Struthio camelus: one gene and its partner. The protein of the gene in region 2 interacts with the protein of the main gene of each other region in a biochemical or structural test. Links are inferred from orthologs where the notes say so. Each region holds a gene or a part of one and is shown on either strand. Other genes may lie near its edges.

The links.
Region 1: the proteins of MAFG (region 2) and NFE2L1 form a complex in vitro, tested with the Homo sapiens proteins (2 studies listed by BioGRID and IntAct, with this or other methods). The link is inferred for Struthio camelus from reciprocal best matches to the Homo sapiens genes MAFG and NFE2L1.

What each region holds. Positions count from the first base shown.
Region 1 is NC_090966.1:5,758,686-5,766,359, forward strand, and holds the start of NFE2L1 (endoplasmic reticulum membrane sensor NFE2L1), read right to left. Parts: upstream 3,005-7,674; 5' UTR 2,908-3,004; intron 2,699-2,907; exon of another isoform or gene 2,363-2,698; intron 2,293-2,362; exon of another isoform or gene 2,221-2,292; 5' UTR 2,078-2,220; intron 1,674-2,077; 5' UTR 1,672-1,673; coding exon 1,162-1,671; intron 1-1,161. Other genes in the region: COPZ2 (coatomer subunit zeta-2), read left to right, coding at 5,499-5,519, 6,065-6,139, 6,217-6,389, 6,474-6,565, 6,640-6,695, 6,835-6,912, 7,073-7,205, 7,280-7,335.
Region 2 is NC_090960.1:370,148-377,298, forward strand, and holds the start of MAFG (transcription factor MafG), read left to right. Parts: upstream 1-4,151; 5' UTR 4,152-4,330; intron 4,331-5,047; exon of another isoform or gene 5,048-5,105; intron 5,106-5,142; exon of another isoform or gene 5,143-6,215; intron 6,216-7,151. Other genes in the region: PYCR1 (pyrroline-5-carboxylate reductase 1, mitochondrial), read left to right, coding at 1-135. UniProt on the Homo sapiens protein: Since they lack a putative transactivation domain, the small Mafs behave as transcriptional repressors when they dimerize among themselves.

The DNA.
Region 1 (7,674 bases), on a different chromosome or scaffold from region 2:
GCACCCAAGGTCACACAAAGCGCTGGCTGCAGGCAGAAAGAGGGCTTTGACACTCAGTTCCATAGTCTCAACACTGCCAACATGCTCTTCGCCTCCGGAGCTAGGAGATCCTAGCGGACAGGGCAAGGCTTCCCGCAAGTACAACCTAGGCACCATCCACACTTCCTACGGCATCAGCCCATCCTCAGTAAATACTAAATCTGAAACAGTCGTCACCGTTGCCTCTCCTACACGAATGCGTTCCTATCACTGTCTTTACACGATTTCCTGCCTGCAGAAACCACATGACAAAAGCTCAAGGCATCCGCGACAGCTGCCTGCAAAGTTCCCCACCTTCTGGTGCCAAAGAGCCACCCCTAAGCTTCATCACAGGGGACAGGGGATCACAGGAGTCAAATTCAGCTCTTTCTGTGCCCAGCCTCCTGAGCAGCTCAGCCCTGAACAATTTATGAGGAGCAGCAGCGGCGCTAGAAGCACCTAACACTGGAATTCAGCACCAACATCAACACAACACGGCCAGAGAGATGTTAAGGCTGAACATGCCTTGACAAAGAAACCAACGCCACAAAGGAAAGAGCGCAGCAGCTACTGGGGGCCAGAACTTGATTGCATCACAGCATTTGAAAGGTTACGCTCAGACAGAAAAATAAACCTCTTTCCAATTCACCTCTCCCCACCCTTCTCTGATGAAAACCCAAGCAATAAACATCAACTGGATGAACTCCAGCAGCAAGTAACCCAACCACCCGTTCGGCACCTGGGATATGGCTGTTACCCAATGCTCCTGTTTATTTCCCAGTGTTATCGGTTTCACAACACAAAGCTACAGGCACAGGTTGAAATACTGATCCCAACCCTTTCACCCCCTCTCACTACTACTTTCAAACCAAGAATAAAACAATTAAAAAAAAGAGAGGATAAAACACAAACCACGTGTATCCACCTAGAGCCCTCTAGCTAAAGCTTAATTCAGCGCCATGCAATTCACAAGCAGGGGCCCACTTTTCCAAAGTGCTAAGCAGGCACAATGCAGAAAGTCCTGCTCACTTTAACAGGCCCTGATGGATATCAAACGTGCCAGAGCCAGACTACTCCCAGAGCCCTCAAAGGGCTCCCTTTCTTTCCTGACACGTGTCTTATATGAAAGAAGGCACTGCCTACCTCTTTGGTCAGGTCTCCATTCACTGGGGGTGCCACCGCTCCCAAGTCTTCCAGTTCTTCACCAAATCCCTGCTCAGCTCCGCTCTCCCTCACGCCATTGTCAGGGCTGGTCCCATCCTGCAGGCCGCTGCCGTTCTCAAGGGCGATGCCGGCGCTGGGCTGGGTACCGGACACAGAGCCTTCAGGGTCTCTGTGCACCAACCAGGCATTGACTTCAGTGGTGGGCACTTGAAACCTGTCCAGGGCCCTCACCTGATTGAGGAGCCTGCGAGCTGTGAAATAATAGTCCAGGTCTACGCTTTTTGGATGGATGCCATATCCATCCAAGGTGTTGCGCAGATTGTGAAACTGGGTCTGAGTGTAAGCAGAGCTCTGGCCGAGAATGATTTCCCTTAGAGGGGGGAGCTGCGAGTTCAGGTAGGTGTCCACGTCCACACGAACGCCTATCAAGCTGAGCAGAATAGTGAACTGGATGAGGCCTTCAGTGAAATATTTCTTCAGAGAAAGCATTTCTGAAGGAGAAAAGAAGAAAACAGGTGGAAGGCTTAAAAAAAAAAAAGTCCAATTAACTCTCCACACAACAGGTTGGTTGGGTTTGTCTTTCCTCTGCCCCACTTTTAGGCAAACAAAATAAAGCAAAGACTTCACAGTTCAGGTTATCACAAAACAACAAGCTAAAAGTCTAAAGAACATTCAAAACTTTGGTTCTGGATGATTTTGTTTTTCTTTTAAAACTCCTAACATACCAGAAATCACAGGTTGGCCAGCAGGGTCCAATCAAAGATTTAAATCTCAAGAAGTGACGAACCATACCCTCGGAGACAGCCTCCACCCGCCAGTGCCCTTTCCTCCTCTTCTGAAACATAACTGTTTTATAAAACTGTTCATAAGCTACATAAAAATCCATGTGACTTACTGTCCAAAAAGTTCACATACAGCAACTTCCTCTAGCCTTCCCAAATCCTCGCCCCGCTCAGGACAGGGTGTGCTCTCTCTGACAGCCAACTGCTTGCTTTCTTCTTTCCCCCTCAAGGTCTGAGAAGCTTCTTGAAGGAGCCTCTACGAGTCAAAGGTACTGATCAAGGAAAGGTTCAAAGACTCCTCCACTTCTGGCCGCGATTTCATCAGAAGCTGAAATATAACCAGTGCGCAAAGGCGATAACGCGCCGACCAGGCACCACCCTAAGCGTTGCACATGTACCTACTACACCGTTTCGCCACGCACAGCCTCCCCAGGAGCCGAGCTAATCTCGCTGATTTCCTGACAAAACCCTGAGGCAGAAACACACAAAACAAAGGTTACCTTTCGCGACAGCATTGTCCACGCTTCCCCTCCCTGAGCTATTCTTAGCCTGGTGCGTCAACATCCCCTCTCTGGAGAGGCATCCAGCCCCGGCTCCCTCTCGCTCCTCGGCACCGCAACACCCACTCGGGGCCCCCCACGGGCGGCGAGACCCGAGGGCACGGCCCCACCCCGCGGGCTGCTCCCGACCGGGGCCGCGGCCTGACAAGGGGCCGCGCGGCCCCTTTAAGATTCCCCCCTCCCCGCCACCGCGGCCCCTTTAAGACCCCCCCCAGCTCCTCGTGACCCGCCCCCCCCCCCCGCCGCCGCGCGCGCGGCCTCGCCGTCCCCTCAGCGCCTCCCCTCCCCCCCCCGCCGCCGCCGCCGCCGCCCCTCAGCGCCTCCCCCCGGTCGGGAGCAGCCCGTGGCCCGGCCCCCGCCGCCGCCCCGCCGCCCGCCGCTACCCGCTCTCCGCCGCCGTCGCCCGCTGCCGGCTCCCGGCCCCGCAGCCGCCGGCGGCCGGCCCCGCGCCTCGCTCCCCGCCCTGCCACAACCGCCGCCACCCCGCCCGCCTCGCGCGGCGCCTCCCGCCAATCGGCGCCCGGAAAGGCGAGGCGGGACAAGGCGCCGGACCAATAGCCGGCGGCGGGGAGGTGTCGCTCCCGCCCCCGTCGCGGCCGGTGATGGGCGGCCCGGCGGGCCAATCGGCGCGCGGCTCGGGCCGCTGCTCCCTCCCCTTGCTCTCCCGCGGGGACCCCGCGCGACGCCCGGAGAGGAGACGCGAGGCCGCTGGCCCGCCCCCCGCACGCGCTGCCGGAGCGACAGGGCGCCTACCCAATAGAACGCGGCGCCTCCGCCGAGCGACAGCGGCGGCCACCAATGAGGCAGAGCGCAGGGGCCGGCGTTTGAGTGGCAGCCACACGCCCCAATCCCGGCAGCGCAGCGCCCCGCCCTGGAGCTGTTGCCATGGCGCCCAGCGCCTTTAGGCCCGAGGCCTCGCCGTGGGCCCGGGGCGGCCATGGCGGCGGCGCCATCGCCGCTTCCGGCCTTGGCTCGTTCTCACTCGTTCGCCCCGAGCCGTCTCCCCGCTTTTCTCTTGGGGAAAGAAAAAAAACGAGCCACGAAACACCCACGAGAGCCGGGGGGGGGGCGATGACCCCCCCCCCCCGTGGTGGGAGCCCCTTCTCCCCTCCATCCTACCCACCGTCCGCGGCGGGTGCCCGGAGCAACTCGAGCCGCGCTGCCCCCTCGCCGGGTTATTTTTAGCTTCCCCCTGCGGGGTTATTTGGAGGGATGGCAGCCGGCCCCGTCACCTGAGCGCCGCGAGCGACGGACCTGCCTCGCCGGCGGGCTCGGCCCAGCAGCGACCGGGGGGGGGGGGGGGCGAGCTGCTCTCCCAGGCCAATCCCACAGCGAGTTTTGGGGGGTTTTGGGGTGTTTTTTTGGTCCCCGGGTTCGAATTCAACCCCGGCGAACGAGGCTCCTGTCACGCGTCAGGATGCAGCTCTCGCCGCCCATGCGCTTTCCAGCCTGGAGTCCGCGGAGGGGGAATCGGGCCTCCTGCGGGGCGGCAGAGAGCCCGCCGGCCGCCCTCCAGCACCCTTCCCGCCCTCACCGGCATCGCTGAGGCCGCTGCTTCCTCCCTTCCTGCCCCCCGATCCTCCCTTCTCGGCACGAGCGTGCTCCTCGCTTAAGGGCCCGTCCCGGGAGCGCGTCGGTGCTTCGCTGGCTGGAGCAGGAGCAGGATCGGAGCCCCCAGCCCCGGCACAACCGTGCCCCTCAGCCACCCACCCACCCCCCCCAGCGCCAGCCGTGGAGGTTAAAGCAAATGGGTGAATCGGTTGCAATCGGGGAGTCACGGAGAGACTCTGGGTCGGAGCAGGGCGGGAGCCGGTTGCTCAACGCGACCTCCCGGACCCCGGGACGGCGGGGCCACGGCCACGGTCACGGCCAGGGCGGCCAGCAGGCAGCCTGCCCCCACGGCCAGATCCGGGATCGCGCACCCGGGGTCCTAGACCAAGGCTGCAGGGTCGGAGCTGGGGGGGGGTCCCCAGCCCCGGGATCACCAACCGGGAGCTCACAGACCTGGAGTTGCAGACCCCCCGGTGGGGGGGGGGGGACGACCAGCTGGGAATCACCGCCCGGGGGGGCCCCAGCCTCTCCTGCAGCAGGGTCCAGAGCATCCCGGCCCCCCCGCAGCCCCCGACGGGGCAGAGGGCCCCGTGCCACGGCGCCCAGGGAGGTGCCGATGCGCTGGCAGCGGCCGCGTGCTGCCCCCGGGGCCGAGCCCGTCTCCCACCAGCACCCGCCGGCCGGACCCCGCGCCGGGCTCCCCGCGCCGCCAGGACGCCCCATCTCGCTGCCCTCGCCTCCCCACCGTGTCCCTGGCACCCACGGAGGGGTCCCCGAGTTAAAGGCCACAGAAATTGGGGTGGGAGGTGACCCCCCCCTTGCCCCACTGCGGGTGGCCCCATGGGCTTACCTGAAAGTCCCAATTTGGGGCACCTGGGAGTCCCGGGCTCCAGGGCACCCCACGGCACATGGCCGAGGGGGTGGGCTCGGGGGGGCCTGGGTACTGCAGGGGGGTGAGATGGGGGTGCAGTGGGGCAAGGCAGGGGTGCAAGGGCAGGGGCTGGGTGTGCATTGGGGACAGAGCAGCGTGCAGGGGGAGGGGGCAGGGTGCAGGGGGGGCAGAGCAGGGTGCAATGGGGTGATGTGGGGTGCAGGGGGACGATGCAGGATGCAACAGGGCAGAGCAGGGTGCGGGGGGACGATGCAGGTTGCAATGGGGCAGAGCAGGGTGCGGGGGGTAGTGCGGGGGGGTGATGCAGGGTGCAGAGCAGGGTGCAACAGGACAGAGCAGGGTGCAACAGGACAGAGCAGGGTGCCGGGGTTGGGGGGGGGGAACGATGCAGGGTGCAGAGCAGGGGGCAGGGGGGCAATGCAGTGGGGCTGAGGCAGGGTGCAGGGGGGGCACAGGGGGGCCGCGGGGCGGAGCGGGCCGGGCCGCGCACGGCCACGTCAGCGGCGGGGGGCTGCCGGGGGCGGCGGAGCCATGGAGCCCGCGGGGCTGCCGGTACGGCCGGGAGCGGGGACACAGCAACTTCCCGGGAACTTTGCACGGGCGTAGCGGGATGAGACCGAAAAATGGGGGGGAAAAAAACAGGAGAGATGGGAAACGGTGGAAAACATGGAGAAGCAAGCAGAAATGGGGAGAAAAGGGAGGGAAAAAAGGGAGAAAAACAGGGGAAAGACGGGGCAACGAGAGGGAAACACAGGCTGATGACAGGGAGCCGGGAGAAACGGGGAGCCAGCGGGGAGCGGAGGAAAGCGGCGGGGAAGGGGAGGCAGAGCGACGGGAAACGAGCAAAACGGGGAGAGACCGGGGGCGGTGACAGGGGAGGAAGGTGGAGAAACAGGGGGAAACGGGGACAGGGAATGGGGGAAACAGGGGGGAAAAAGGGAGCGACAGCGAGAAAGGGGAAAAAACAGGTGTTGGGGAGGACAGAGAAGAGGGGAAATGGGGAGAACGGGAAGAAACGGGGGGCAAGGAGCGGAGAGGGGGGACGGACGTGGGTCCGGCGGGACCCGCCGCCAGGCTGAGCCCCCGGCCCGTCCCAGCGGCGGGAGCCCTCTCTCTACACCGTCAAGGCCCTTTTCATCCTGGACAGCGATGGGCAGCGGCTCCTGGCCAAGGTAGGGCCGGCCGGTGCCGAGCACCCCCGCGCAGCGCCCCCCCCAAGGGCTCGCTGCCTCAGTTTCCCCCCACCCAGGGAGGCCGGCGGTGCCCCAGCTGCCCCCCGGGCCAGATTTCGGGGCTGCTGCTGGGGGTCCCGGCGGTGACGCCGGCGCCCCGGTCCGCAGTACTACGACGGCACCTTCCCCTCGCCGGAGGAGCAGGCGGCATTCGAGAGGAGCGTCTTCAGCAAAGCCCAGCGGGCGGGCGGTGAGCACCGGGGGGGGGGGGGGGCGGCCCGGAGCGGGGGGGTCCCAGCGGGTCCGGCTGATGCCGCCCGGCCGCCCGCACCAGGCGACGTCGCCGCGCTGCAGGGCCTCACCGCCGTCTGCCAGAGCAGCGCCGACCTCTTCTTCTGCGTGGCGGGGAGCTGCCAGGAGAACGAGGTGAGCCCCCCCCCCAGCTCCGGCCCCCCTCGGTCCCCCCCGGCCGCCGCTCACGCCGCCGCTCGTCCCTGCAGCTCGTGCTGGCGTCGGTTCTCAGCTGCCTCGTGGAGACCCTCGGCCTCGTGCGGCGGTGAGTCCAGCAGCGGCACCGGGACGAAACCCGCGTGTGTCCCCCCCCCCGCTGCCGTCCACCCCGGCACGGAGGGGGTCTCGGCCCCCCCCACCCCGCATCCCAGCGGGACGGGGGTGATGCATGATGCCGCCCGCAGCGGGGACGTGGAGAAGCGCTGGCTGCTGGACAACATGGACGGGGCGTTCCTGGTGGTGGACGAGATCGTGGACGGGGGGTGAGTTGCTGCCGGGGTTTGGGGGCAAAACAGCAAAAGGAGCTGGGGGCACGGCGGGTTGCGGGGACCCGCGGTGTCCCCGGGCGGGGGAAACGAGCCGGCTCCGTCTCTGCCCGGCTCCCGGCCGGACCTGAGCATCCCACCCCGGCTCCTCGTCGAGGCGTCGCGCACGGAGGGGAAACCGAGGCACGGAGGCTCCCGCGCCCTGACCGCGCCGCCCCGCGGCCCTTCCTCGCCGCAGGGTGATCCTGGAGAGCGACCCGCAGCACGTGGCGCAGAGGCTGAGCCTCCGGGTGAGTGCGGCCGCCCGGCCCCCCCGCCGCCGGCGCCGGCCTTCCTCCGACCTCCTCTGCCTCTCTCCACCCAGGCGGCCCCGGAGCCGGCAGCCTACGGCTTCGTCCTCTTGGATTACCTGGCGGGTAGCTCGGCGCGGAGGGAGCCGGCAGAGCGGAGGGACTAGGCGGCACGGCAGGTGGGAGACGGGCCGGGGTCCTGCTCCCGTGCACCCCTCCGGGTGCACCCCTCTCCCCCTCCCCAGCCCGGGGACCCAGGCGTCCGGCCGGGAAGGTCCCCGCACGGTGCCGTGCCCCACGGGTGGGCGGCCGCCCCGTCTCGCCCCAGGCGCTGCAGGCCACCGAGGAGCCACGCGCGACGGTCCCTGCGGAAGAGGAGGGTCGGGAGGAAGGCGCCCGGGGCTCTCCAGCAGGATGAGGCCGCACCGGCGAAGCGGCTCAGCGCCCCGCTCGTCCTGGCGCCTCGCCG
Region 2 (7,151 bases):
GAGAAGATCTCTCCAGCAGCCATAAAGAAGACTTTGTTAGATAAGGTCAAGCTGGAATCTCCTTCTCTGTCTGTGGCATCTGCCAGCAAAGTCAGTCTGTTCACCAGTAAGAGCCCCAGCAGTAAGAAGAACTGACCAGGCTACCGTAATCTGGCTGTGCTGATAGTCAGTCTCCTATATGTCCTTTCTTCTTTGTTTAAGGAAAAACCTCTCGCTGTGGATGTTGGTGTTCCCCATACCTGGCTCTCAGCTTGCAGCAGCTGTGGGGCAGCATGAGGCTGTAGGAGAGGATCTATCTATCTATCAATCACCTCTAGCGGGATTGGTGAAAACTGCCCCTAGCGTTGCTGTTCTCTGTTGGGCAGGGGTGTGATAGCATCACCAGAGCTTTATCAAGGGCATCATTTGGCCAGAGGCCCTGGATACCCCCAGAGCTCAGGCAGTGTTTATTGTGTCCCATGCAGATGTGGTTTCTACTGGTATTTCTAAGAGGTTTCAGAATGCCTTTTGGTCTCAGTGGTTTGAACCAGGCTGGATCCCTCTTGCCTCAGCATGTGCTGTCAGAGCTTGTCTTCTGTCACTGTCTATATTAGCTAGAACAGATACTACTGCAGAAATGCAGTGCTCTGCGCTCCATTAGAGGCTAGGCTCTAATGTACCTCTCAAAAGGGATCAAAGTGCCTCTGCCCTGTTTCCCATCTGCCTTGATTTGACAGCCCAATGATGTGAACCCCTGGCCTTCAAGCACCCCAAGTGCTTGAACCGCACCGCATCTCTCTTCACTGGCTACTCCTTCTCCCTGCTGCACGTAGTTTGGGAACAATGACCTACTCTCACTGTCCTTCCTTTGCTGCCTAGCCTTCTTGGGTGTTTGGGCAGGTGGAGGGGTAGCACGTGCTCCCTCTTCCCTCTGTTTCTGGCACCTGTGAACTCCTCACAAGCAGAATCTGCTCCCATACACCCATGGGTATGCTTCAGTGGTCGCTGTGCTTCCTGATGCTCTCCTTGCTGCCCCAGGAGAAGTGCAGAGCGGAGGTCAGGGATACCCTCCCCCAGAGAAAGCCCTCTACTGCGCTGCTCCCTTAGGCTCAAGTGGGCTTTGTCTGGTTGGGTTTGGTACCCAGGTGCTGGGTTACCGCGTGGCAGCAGAACTCTCCTCGACTCCTTTCCTTGAATTGGGCCGTGTCGTCTTCTTGGGTTGTGGTGTTGGCACTCGCTGCCAGGGGCTACTGTGCTTCAGCTCCTGCAGTTTAGATATGCTGCAGTGGGCTGGTTCTCCCTTCCAGACAATAGTGCCCTGGGCTGGGATGATGAATTCTGGCACAGCAGCCCTCAGTATCCCTTTGTGTTGGCACAGTTAGGTTTCTTTGGCATTTTCTAGCCCATTTCTGATTATTATTTTTTCTTCCTGTTCTTTTGACGACATCACGCTGCTAATGGCTAAAAGAGGAAACACCTAGAAACTAGTTGGGGATGCTTCATGCAGTTGCATTCCTAGTCCTTTAGTATACAAGACTGAAGGGAAACACGGAATCCTCTGGTCTGGCTTGTGGCTCAAATGTTGTTCTTTCTCACATAGCTTATCTTGCATGAGATCCAGGAAGAGAATGGTTCAGTCCTTGCCTGACACAAAAGAGGTTAAGGGAGTACTCGTGAGTGCCTAGTGCCTGTGCAGCAACAAGGAGCTGTTTGGTGAAGCGTGTCCAGATGACTGTACCCTTGCAGAGGAGGAAAACCCTTGATGTTCCCGTCTGGAGAATTTCTCTCCACCGTAACTCAAATGTGTGAGCAAGAAACAGCAGAGAAAAATGGGGTCTGGAAGCAGTGTTTTCTGGTGCCCATTGAACTCCAGGACTTCTGAGGGGAGAAATCTGGCCAGGCTTGGGGTAGCAGCAGGCTGAGAGGGAAGCCCTGCTTGACCCTTCTCAGCAACTGGGGGGATTACAGCCCATCATGTAGAAAGATGGTTAATCAGGCACGGTCTTGGGAGCCATCTCAAGAACAGCAGCAAATACAAGGTTTCATCTGCTGCTTTATGTGACTTTTTTATAGTAAATACCCTTGGGTGGCTTCCTTGCCTCTACTCTTCTCTCAGACCCTGAGTGCTATCCTGAGCCAGAAAACAGTACAAAGCATTCAAACTGCCCCTATCGCTTTTAGCTGGCTGCAGTGGAAGCAGCAGACTAGAGGGGATGGAGGGGGTTTGGGTGGATAAATGTCATACTATATTCTACCTTGGGATACACTGGGGTAGTGCTGGTAAAAGGAAGACATTTAAGCTGGGCTTATTTTCTCTCCTGAGGAATCCTGGGTATCTTGGTGATACAGGAAAAGCATTTAGGTAACAGTGCAGAGGCTGCCAAAGGTGCTAATAATAGAAAAGCTTCTTCAGTGTTAGGCTTTCGGCTGGTAGCAGGGTATGACCCTTTAGGCCTTGGAGATGGTGACTCCTCTTCCCTCTTTATATAATAAACTGCTTCTCTGACTGAGGCCTGTGGCTAGTCCCAGCTCTTTGGACTGGGTGGGTCTCTTGGTTGTGGCTGGTGCCAGCAGATCCTCGCTGTTCCCAGGGAGTGTGCTTGGGCTGTGCTGCTCTCCTGTCTTCGAGGCTCGTTTGGCCGTGGGACTGGGAAGGTATCAGTTTCTCCTTGTCATTTACAGTTCCTGAGCAACAACATAAGGGTTATTTTAGGGCCCTATGCTACCAGTATTCAGAGGTTTAAAGAAAATTGAAGGAAAAAAGCCTTCTGGCTGAAATCAGGCTGAGGATTTTTGAGTGTTAATTTCTGTCATACCGTCCTGAAACTGTAGGCTTCCTAGCAGTTCTGCTACTGCAGACAAGAGTCCATGGGAAGCAAGTTGGTGCCACATGTTCCTCTCCTTCCCTGCTCAAAAGCTGTGAACACCCTGCACAGATCTGCCAAGCTGTAAGTCAGATGGTTGAAATACTGTCTGATTAAAAAGTGAATGGGGCATTGCACAAAGTGTTTCCACACAGCTGATAATGTGGAACACGATAAAAGGTAGCACAATGAGCTTGTGCCCCTCCAGAGGGATATATGGGCTGCCCCAGTGTGCCCTAGAAGAGGCATTGCTGTGCAAGAACTAGAGCTGAGCTTGCTCGATGCTTGCAGACCTGTAACTTAGCTGGTCAGCACAGAAGAGAAAAAGCCCATCAAAGCATATAAAATGACTCTGTGCGGCTCTAGTTTGTGTGTCCCCTGCATGCATGGCAGAGGACAGTGGAGCTGCTGTTGAATGTCCAGGGCCCAGATTTTTTCCTTATAAGGATCATGCTTTCTCCATGATGTCTTAATTCATGTGTGCCTGGTTTCACTGATGTCCTTCCTCCGCTGTGCTCATCTGGTGTGCTCTGGTGGGCAGAGGCCTGCTTTGCTTGTCGTGCAGCAGCAAAGAGGATAGGTACAAATATTGCTGTGTTATGGACACAGAGCACAGAGTTATAGCAGGATAGATGGGGACACATGGGTCAAGCCAGGCATGATGGGGGGGAGAGCACCATTTCACAGCCCGAGAGCCAGCCCTGCTCGTACACTTTTTCAGCAGAAACTTGCTTCAGCATTGTCACTAATGCCTCGGAGAGCAGCTGCAAAGCCCTCTTCCTTAAGTCAGCATTTTCAGGGGAGACCTTGCTGCTCCCTGCAGTTTCAGCAGCTCTGAGAAACTGTAGATGCAGCAAAGATGAGCTGCTGAGACGGAGCAAGGAGCGTGGAAGCGCGGGAGCGGCTGGCTGAGCAGGAGCAGGGGCGATGCTCCCCTCCGCACTGGGGCAAAGTTAAAACGCTGGACGTGGGGTCTGTGCCAGCCCCTGCGGAGGGCTTCGCGTGTGTGATTGCAGCGGTGGCCCAGGGGAGCGGGCCGGGAGCGGGGCGGCGGCGCCGCAGGAGCCGGGCGGTGCCCGGCCGCGCCAGGCCCCGCTCCGGGTTGGTTTATCCGGGCAGGCGGCTGCAGCGCTGCTCTGGCTCCCGGAGGAGGCGGCGGCGGCGGCGGCCGGGCCGGGCCCGTCCCCGCGGCTCGGGGGCGGCGGCGCTACCGGGCCCGGAGCCAGCCGGCCGCCCCCCCTCCCCTCCCCTCCCCTTTAAGGCGCGGCACGCCCCGCCCCCTTCCTTATCGCTGTCGCCTCCGACAGTAATGCGCGTCCCCCTTAAGGCTCGGGGCGGCTGCACCGGCCGCTTCATGAATGGAGCCACGTGACCCAAACATCACGTGACGCGTCCGTGAGCAGCGGCGGCGGCGGCGGCTGGCGGCGTCCCGGTCCCTCCCAGCGCCCGGTCCCGGCCCGGCCCGGCCCCGGCGGCACCGCGAGGAGGTGAGCGCGGCGGGCGCGGCCCCAGCCCCGGCCCCGCAGCGGGAGCGGCCCGGCCCCGGGCGGGGCGCGGCGGGGCGGGGCGGGGCGGCGGGCCGGTCCCCGGGGCCGGACCGGGCGGGGGCGGGGCCGCCGCCGCCTCGCGATGGGGGGCGATGGGGGGTGCCGGGGCCGCCGCCGCCCCGGGCTCGCGGCCCGCCCGGCCCCCGCCGCGGCGCCGCGCAACAGGTGCGGGGCCGACGGGCCCGGGAGCCGCCCCGGGACCGGGACCGGCCCGGCACCGCCCCGAGCGAGGGCGGCCCCCGCCCCGCCCCGGCGCCCGGGGGTGTCGGCGCCCCCCGGCCGCTGCCCCGGCTCCTCCCGGCTGCGGGCGCCCTCCCCGGCGGCGCCGCAGCTCCGCTCGGTGCGACCGAGCCCCGGGGGCCGGGGCAGCCTCGGCTGCGAGGCCTTGGCCGGGGCCGGGGGCTGGAGCCGGGGCTGGAGCCGGGGCTGGAGCCGGGGCCGGGGCGCAGCGCGTCCTCCCGCTCGCTCGGGCCAAGGCGCCCGGCAGGCTGCCGGACCTGGCCGGCGCGGAGGGTTTTTGCTTCGTGCCCCGTTTCTCCCTGCTCTAGGAGGGCAGGACCCCGGTTTGGTGTGTTTAGGGGGAGGCTCTTGCCTCTCTGACCGCCCAGAATTAGCGATGTTTCAATATACAGCTGCATGCTGGGGGGAGGACACCGCTGGGACCGGGGAGGGGGTCTCTGAGAGCAGGCTGCTCCCGTCGTCCCCGCAAGCGCAGGTAAAACGGGGTGCGCGGGCAGATTCCTTGACTGAATAATTACGGTGGAAGCGTTCTGGATGCGAGCTCACCTCGGACTCCCAAGGGAAGAGCGGGGATGCACGGGAGGCAGACTGTGCGTGTAGCGAGGGAAAACAACTGATCTGCTTGGATTCCTGGGACAATTGTGTCAACTAACTCAAAACCCGCGCGGGCAGAGAGAACTTTCCTGCGGCGTGCCGCGGAGCGTCTCGTAGCGCCCGGCGCCTTCCCCTGCCTCCGCATCCCGATAGATGGGCCTCCCTCTCCGGGCTGGCCTGTGCTGGAACGAGTGACGTCACCGTGTTTACACTGGGCTCATGGCACCGCTCTGTGAATCAGGAATGTGGAGAATGGGGCCTGCGTCGAATCATGCGCGCGGCTGTCAGCTCTGTCGTGCTGCCTCTGGGCTGAGGAGAGAATTGGCCGTGCTTGTGCTGAGTTCAGGCCTTTCCAGCTCTGGGGAAATGTGTTGAGGCTGCGTTTTCTTCATTGCAGTCGTTGCATTTGGCACTTCTCAGTGTGATCCTTCTTCAGGAAGCTATCGAAAGCTGAGAATCAGCAGTCTGGAGAGTTAGACCCAGCTTGGTCTCTGTCTTGACGCCAGTTCTCTGGGTGTCCTCTGTGCGAGCTGCCAAATGGTTCTGTCTCTGATCCTTTGAGCAAGGCCAGAAAATAGCCAGCAACTTGTGTCTAGGTCGTTCTTCCCGTGCTACCGACGGACTAGTGTGTTGGTTTGTCTCCATCCCTGACCCCTTTGGAAAGGGGACTGGAGGCGAGGAGAGGTGAAATCACCCAGATGCTGTCAGCCAGGGTCTTGTTACAGCTTTGAGGCTGTTCTGGGAGGCGTGTTGGATGGGAACGAGGCCTGAAAAAGTTGGATTCCTCTAGCTGGAAATGCCTGACTCTTAAAATACAAAAAAAGGTTAAATTACTGGGACCAGTCTCTTCTCCTGTCTGCGGATCAGTCTGCTGCCTCCATCCTGACTGGCTTCTTGCAGTGCATTGGATGTCTCCCAGCTACTGATTCCTCTTGGTTCCCGCTTGCCCTGACTCTCCTGACAGCAGCGGTCGGATCTGCGAGCACTTTGGGTGAGGGTCGGGAGGGTGCAGTGGGCTTCGTTAGAAGGCCTCTTTGTGGCAGCCTCGTTTGTTCAGCCAACCCAATCACAGGCTTTTGTCATGTAAAAAATTTGCTTTATCAGGTTGTAGCTGTATGATGTGGATAGGAGAAGTGTTTCTAGATGGCTCCTGAGATGCGTTGCATAGACCTCTGGATTCCCCGGTAAAGGGTTTTGCTGAGCCGGTTTGGCCCTAAATTTGAACATGCAGTTTCCTTCCCCCATGTTAGCCTGTTCCTTGGGATTTTCTTCTGTGGGTTCCTGTAGCTTTAACAGCAGTGACAGTGCCACAGGGCCTTTGTGGGTCCAGGCTGTGCGAGCACCGCTGCTGAATCTCCGCAGCCTGCCCGGCGGAGTTCCCTTCCCCGGGGCCGGTCTGCTGCTGCAGCGCCCGTGGCCTTGGTTGTTTGTTTTCAGCTCCGCTGTGATGAAGGAAGTTTGAGTGCTTGCCAGGCAGCTGAGTGCTGGTTAAGGCCACAAGGCAAACAAACTTCTCCGTTCCCACTGACCGTGCCTGGCCTCTGCTCCTTATGCTCAGCAGAGGACGCTGCAGGGAGGTGCTGCTGGGGTGGCGTTATTGGTCTCCCCAGTTGATCCCTTTCTTCTGCCCCTCTTCTCAGCAGCCATGTTGTTTGCCAAGGAGGAGCAGAGGAGAGAGGTATGAGCAAAAGGGAAAAATTGATTTTTATGAAGCAATTGCGTATGTGCTGCCCGTCCTGTGTTAGCCTGCTTCCTTGCAGCTAGCTTCCCTGGCTGACAAAGTGACCTTTTTACACCAGCACTGTCAGGTTGTAGCAGGCATCTCATTGGAAGGAACATTGTCCTCTGGGTATAAATAGCCTGCCTCCCGGCAGGCTCCAAGCTTTGGGAGCATCTGAATTTTACCTGTCTACTAGGTGTCTTGGAG